Caenorhabditis elegans: one gene and its partner. The protein of the gene in region 2 purifies or fractionates together with the protein of the main gene of each other region. This does not show direct contact. Each region holds a gene or a part of one and is shown on either strand. Other genes may lie near its edges.

Region 1 (4,090 bases), on a different chromosome or scaffold from region 2:
TTTTAATCCAAAATTTTTAGAATTTCAGAACTATTTCTTGAATGTTGTTTTTTTCGGAATTTTCAAATTTCTAGAAAATTTAAATACTTCTGAAACTGTAGTTTTTTGAATTTTCAGAATATAATGAATATCAGAGGTTTTGAATTGTTAGTTGTTTTTAGATACTGAAATAATTTTTGGCGATTTTCGGCTTTCAGAATTTTCAGAATATTTTGATTATTTGAGGTTCTGAATTGTTGGTTTTTTGAAAGATTTTTCCATGAAACTTTTTTGCGATTTTCTGCAAAAATTCCCACGAAAAATCTCAAAACTGGAAGGTATAAATGCGGTGACAAATATTAAAAAAAAACAATTCTCTGATTCCGTACAATTTTGCAAAAATTTCCAGCAAAGCGACAGGTATCTTCTGATCTCATTCACTTCAAGTTAACGTCTATATTCTTTTCAACTCAGCGGGCTCAAGTCCTCTTGTGTCTTTTATAATTACATGTAGCATTAGGTTTCCACAACGACCACGTCTCCGTGCTCTTTTTGAAACACCCATAATTTACATTCCATCAGACAGCTCGATTCTGATTGAAGTTTTCACTTTTTTCGAAATTTATGTATTGCTCCCCCCGGGTTACAAGCATATGTATAGTCGATTTTGAAACGATTTTGTTTCACTGAAAGTTTAAAAAAATGTTTTTTGAAACCTAGAAAAATGTGTTTTTTATTATATTTTCCCCAGAGTTGCATTTCTTTCTAGCAAATTAGAATGCCCAGAGTAGTTCAAAAAAATGTTTTGCCCCTTGTCTTTGTGATATCTTTTTCCGTACCTTCCTCCAAACTTCTCACCACAACCATTATATGGGCGGAGCCTAATAAACCCCTCCTGTTTCACAATTCAAATTTCCAGGTACATCATGTCATCAAAAGAGCTCTATAGACTCAAAACTTTCGACGATCACTATTTCGAAATGTCCACCGAATCAATCGGAGATCCTCTCCCAGATGGCAAGCCAAGTCCAACAGGGAAAAGCTTCCAACTATGTGATACCAGTTCCGAACGTCAAAGGAATTACCATGAAGATGGTTGTCACCTGGTGCATCCGTCATCGAGTCGAAGTTCCGAGCACTTCTACGTGGGAAGTTGACTATGTTAAATCATTGGATCGAGAGGAACTGAAAGATGCGATATGGGCCGCCAAGTATCTTCGAATGCCAATTCTTATTAATATTACTAGTTCTGAACTGTTTTTGCGAGCCGAAAATACACCGGTAGAGAGGTTAGATGAAGTGTATCCGATGCCGCACTGTGTAGGCAGAGCTCCGGAGAGAAGCACCAAAATCACCATTCACAAATTCAAATAAACTTGGATACAATTATTTTTGTTTTCTTTTAGTACTCAGTTCATAAATATATTAAAGTGGGATCCATCTTCGTTTTTTAGTGATTTTACAAAAGTTTTATAGTAGAAAAAAACAGAAAATAAACTGTTGCGTTCAATGCTGAAACATTTTTCAATGTTTGAAATGATAATTTTATTCGAGATTTCCAATGAATAAATAACTTTTCATAGAAGGTAGTTTTGGGAAAAAAAATTGGAAATTTTCGCGTCCAGAAAGTATGGAGTCCTATCAATGACTGAAAATATAAAATACTCTATAAGAATAAGAAATTGATATGTTAATAATCAGAAAAATACAATAATTAAAAAAATTCATAGAATCAAGTGAATTATTAACCAAAACTTTAATTCTATGCCATTTCAATTGCTGTTCATCGCGTGTATCGAATTCATTGACTTGCTTTGAACCAACAAATCAATCAATGCCCTCAACATTTTTCTCAATATTATTAAACATGTTGGCTTCAGAAAAAAGTGCTCTTTCATCTCCCTCCGCCTACTCATCTCTCCATCTCTGCCCCTCAAATCTCTCAGCTTCCGTCACCTGTTACTGACGGAATTGATCAGTGAGAAGCTCTTCGAGCGTTTTCATTACATATGTTCAGCCATCTTATTAGTTCTAAAAGGTTAGTTTCAGAATGGTTTTGGCTCCGTTTTTCGAGAAAGCTCCATCGCTTATCATTGCTCCAGACGGATCAGTTCTGTTCGAATGCATCTGTAATGCGAATCCACAACCAACAGTTAAATGGTAAAAGATTTTGGTTTATGAACCCCTAACCTTAACTACTGTAGGTTTTTGAAAGACAAAGAGCTGACTGGTGATCGTTACGTGTCAAAGATCAAGAAGATGGTTGGCAAGTTCACAGTTACACTGCATATCAAGGTAAGTAAGATTTTTGTAATACTGATAAACTGATCGGGATTCTAGATTAAGAAGAGAATAAGAAGAAAGGAACGGATAGAACACTTGATCTGGTTTTTAGAGGGAAACTTAAATTGTAAGAACATGGTGTAATATTGACCTTCGAAACACTTGCCTCGAGATTTTGTTTCACATTTATTTTAAAGTAAAAAACTTCAGAAACAATTTATTGACCTAGAAAATGTCGGCCATTCTTTTAAAAACCGTTCCTGGAAAGTTTGGGATGGTCTCCGGCAGGAACAAAAATTGAAAATAGGCTATACAATTTCGGAAAGTTTTTTTTTTCATTTATCGGAATCGAACATATATTTAAGGGCTGTGCGGTATTTTTTCGGCAAACCCACAATAATGTTTATTTCAAAATGATAATCCAACTTTTTTCATGCAAAATTAACATAGAAACGTAGAGAAAGGTTTGTTCTATCTGGAAAAAATACAAATTTTTTTGAAAAGTTTGAAAAAAAAGTTCAAATAGTGTCTGAAAGTTGTCGTTTGTCTAAACACTTTTAACGGCACTTTTTTGGCAAACGTCAACTTTCATGCACTATTTTTGATTTTTTAAAATTTTCCAACAAAAATAAATATGCACCATAACTGGCTAGATTCACCGTCGATGCACCATATCAAGTTAGATGCACCGTAACTGGTCAAATGTACCATAACTAGTTAAATGCACCATAACTGGTTAGATTCACCGTAACTGGTCAAATGTACCATAACTTGTCAGATGCACCATAACTGGGTAGATTCACCATCGATCATCAGCATAATTCACATACAATTTTTTTGAAATTCAGCTCAAAAATGAAGCTTGATGATGAAAATTAGGCAATGGGAATATTCATACTTTTTGAAAATAAAATTACTTTATATTAAAAATTTCAAAAAGTTGCTAAAAAATTGCCTCAATGCCGTAACACCCATCGGCATACTCACTTGGCACATTTTAAATCAAATGCCAATTTTGATCACTTTTTCATAATCTTCACTAAAATAACGCTATCTTCTAAAAGTACAAATACTTCTCTATATTTTCATATGAATTTCCAGAAATGAGCATTCTAGATAAGTTAATAACAAAGAAAATGTTTCCAGAACCCTACCCAAGAGGACCAAGGAGTTTACAAAGTGACTGCTACAAACACCCATGGCTCACACTCCGTTGAGCAGCAGTACATCTACAAATGCACTGGAAAAGAGGTTTTCAAGACTCTTGACTAAATTCTGCTAGATTTCTTTAATATTTCTTCCAATAAACTTTTCCGTCGCTATACTGTATCTTAATATCACTCGTAGAAGAAACAACGTGGTTATCATGTGATAAGAAGGTCAGAAATAGAGAGAAAAGATGTCAAAAATACTAGGAATTTTGAGTGTAGAGTTCAGAAAAACAGATTGAACAAAAAACGAAGTATACCCGATCAGGGAGATCGGTTTTTGGAAGGAAATAAAAATGATCACATGTGCAGAATAGTAAAAATGTTGATTGAGAAAATTTTGTTGGCGACATGTTGGAGTCAGATCTGTTCGAGAGTTCAAGTTGATAAGAATTCTAGTTTAAAAGTTTAGACTTTTGGTTTGGACATCTGAACTACAGGCTGATAGTTTAAACTGTAGGTACAGAATAGTATGAAAACCGTACGAGCAAACTTTGATGTCAATTTCCTTTGGTAAACATTCAGAATCAAAGATGGGAATGTTTGAAGACTTTTATGAAGTGTGCCAAATATAAAAGTACAATTTTTCAAAAAAAAAAAAAATTGAAAATTTTAATTTT
Region 2 (2,922 bases):
ATTCTTGCATTTTTGCATTAAAAATACATATACTTATTATGTATCTGCCATACGTCCTCTCATATTTTTATTACCACAAACTAAGATTTTGAAATAAAAATAGCAATTTTAGAAGTTAACCCACCGCTCTCCTCCATTTCAATAATGTCTTTTGCCATCAACATTAGAACATCAGACTATACGAAAAAATGAGACGAAGCCAAACAAAACCGCGTACTTTTCCTTTCAATATTTTTTTTGCCCGACTGCTTCTCTAATCAGTTAGAGGGGAAAGAGATGGAATCCCATAGCAACCACACACCGCCTTGCCCATTTTTAGTGCTTTTCTCGTTTCATTATCATTATTTTCGTTGTCGTGTAGGTTCAGACTCTCTATTTCTGATGCTGTTGTTCAGTGAGCGGAATGGGAGAGAATAACAGGATGTATATGGGGAATATATGTGAGAATTTTCGAGAATGCATTTTTTGTATTTAGTGTTCGTCTGGAAAATATTGGTGAGAAAAAGAACAAATTGTAATGGAAATTATTTACTTAAAAGAACCCATAATCAATGTTTTCTCTACTAAAATGTACATAATATTCAAGTCTAGTTGAGTCATCTGTGTAAATCACTGATTCAACAATTTCTTCCATTCCTCCATAGTCTTCACAGGATCCGCCTTGATTCCAGCTTCTACGTCAGCACGGACACGATCATGAACGACATCTCCATTGGAGTTAACGAGTTTCAGAACCGGTATCACCACTGCTTTGTACTTTTCCGATAGCTTTCTGAAAAATTATAATTTTTTTCAGTATAAATTTTGGAAATTTCTCTCACTGAATATTTTCATCTCCAAATGGAATATATGGCCAGTCTGGAAGATTCTTCTCATAGTATTCTTCTTGGTGGGCTGCTTCTTTGTCCTTCGACACCCATACGATTTCCAGATTCTTTCCAGCATCCGATTCTTTTACAGCATTGTAGAATTTCTTGATCTTTGGAGTCAGAAATTTGCAGGATCCACACCATCCAGCTGAGAAGTAGACAACTACTGTCTGAAATTCTTTTTTTTTCAATTTTTGAAAATAAATTTTGCAACGTAAATAGGTGATTTAAATTATTCAGTCCTACCTTATTTTCGAAATAATCTTTTGGTAGATTTCCATCAACTCCACGCTTCTTCATTGGAACCGATGACAAAAAGTGTGCATTTCGGATACTTGCGAACTTTGTGAAGTTGCCAGAAGCTGAGCGAAGAAATGATGAACCAAGAAGTGAAGGGGACATCTTGAAAATAATCGAAAATTGTGGAAGAAAATGTTGGACGACGCGATATTTTTAGGGCGATTCACGCGGAAAGTGTTTTCAAATTTCGAATTGCATTCAAATTAAAAATTCGACTTCATTTTATCTAATATTAGAGTACATCGGTGCTATGAAGAGTATGAGAATCCTGTCTAATTCGAAACTACAATAAACGCGAAAAATCAAAATCGAGTTCTGGAGAAAGTGGTTCAGCAATGAGCAATTCCGGATCAGAAAGCGATTCGGAGAAGTGAAGAAGGAATCGTTTTGCACATTCTTCGGAGATTGCTCGTCCGTCGAAACAAAGATTGACACCCATTCTAGAAAAAAATACATATTAATCTGATGGGATTATTTAATTTTGATGGCAGAGATTTTTTTTAATTTCCTAGGTATCAGTCCTTACAATTTTTGTGTCTCCAATTGTCCATCAACAGATACAACTTCAGAACGAGTTCCTCCGATCGTCAAAATGGCACATTGCGGTGGATTTATGATGGCTGTGAAGTTGGTCACACTTCCGAACATTCCAAGATTCGAAATTCTGAAATTTTCTAATTTTTGTATCATTTCGGGATGATAGCTTTTAAATTTGCATGATTATCATGTGATTTCTTTATCAATTCTTCTCTCTTACGAGAAATTAGAACAGAAACATAAAAAACTTCAAAGATCTCTAGAAGTTGTTTGATGTGGATACATTTTTTGAACGTTGTGAACGTTTCAATAATTTCTGTAATTATATTTGAAGTAACCGAAACAAATAGAATAAATCTCACGTAAAAGATCCTCCCTGGAACTGTTGTGGTTTTAATTTGCTTTCTCGCGCCAATCCCGACAACTCCTTCACTTTGCTAGAAATCGCCAAAACGCCCAAAATATCAGAATTCTCTACAATTGGAGTGATAAGGCCGGTTGGAGTAGCCACAGCGACCGAAATATCGACTGATCCGAGACCGATTCCTTCTGGAGTCCATCGAACATTTACTGTCGGCACGGACTGAAATAGAGCTCTCATTTACGAAGAAATTTTGAAAAGCCTACCCTCAGTGCAAGGGCTGCGGCTTTTATGATAAAGTCGTTGAGCGAAACAGCAGTTCCGGATTTTTTCAATTTCTGTCTCAACGCCAGAATATCGTCAATTCGAACGTCAACACCTTGATATTCGTGAGGAATTTGCTGCTGAAATAAAATATTTTCTCCAATAATAACATTTCGAATTTTTACTTTAGAAGCTGTCAATCGTTTTGCGATTGTTGCTCGAATATTGCTGAGAGGAATATCTTGGTGATGACGGAGACTGCGATTGTTGGCGCCGAAAATGTCTGATTTCTGCAAAACAAAACAATATGTAATTTTTGAAACATTTTTCCAAACCTTTTCAATAGATTTATTTTCAATATGTGTTTCTTTTGGAGCATGTGCATGATGAGCCACCGGCTTCAGCTTTTCAGCTTCAACTATTTTCATAACATCGCCTTTCAGAATATTTTTGTTTTTTGGGCCTGTTCCATCAATTTTTCGATTTTCCAGACCATATTGAATCAGAAGAAGCTTGACTGCAGGACCGCAAGCTCTGGAAAATACTATTAAATAGAAAAATCTATTTTACACACTTACCCTTGGTTTTGTG

Evidence for each region. The genes of interacting proteins can lie anywhere in the genome.
Region 1: the proteins of C30H6.8 (region 2) and oig-2 fractionate together in Caenorhabditis elegans (co-fractionation; one large-scale study listed by BioGRID). This does not show direct contact.

What each region holds. Positions count from the first base shown.
Region 1 is NC_003280.10:13,006,103-13,010,192, reverse strand, and holds oig-2 (Ig-like domain-containing protein), read left to right. Parts: upstream 1-2,028; 5' UTR 2,029-2,029; coding exon 2,030-2,139; intron 2,140-2,183; coding exon 2,184-2,274; intron 2,275-3,408; coding exon 3,409-3,534; 3' UTR 3,535-3,580; downstream 3,581-4,090.
Region 2 is NC_003282.8:17,380,678-17,383,599, reverse strand, and holds C30H6.8 (protein-disulfide reductase), read right to left. Parts: upstream 1,272-2,922; coding exon 1,116-1,271; intron 1,040-1,115; coding exon 822-1,039; intron 773-821; coding exon 610-772; 3' UTR 521-609; downstream 1-520. Other genes in the region: C30H6.12 (BESS domain-containing protein), read right to left, coding at 125-164; dlat-2 (2-oxoacid dehydrogenase acyltransferase catalytic domain-containing protein), read right to left, coding at 1,453-1,609, 1,696-1,833, 2,069-2,289, 2,334-2,471, 2,517-2,621, 2,667-2,865, 2,910-2,922.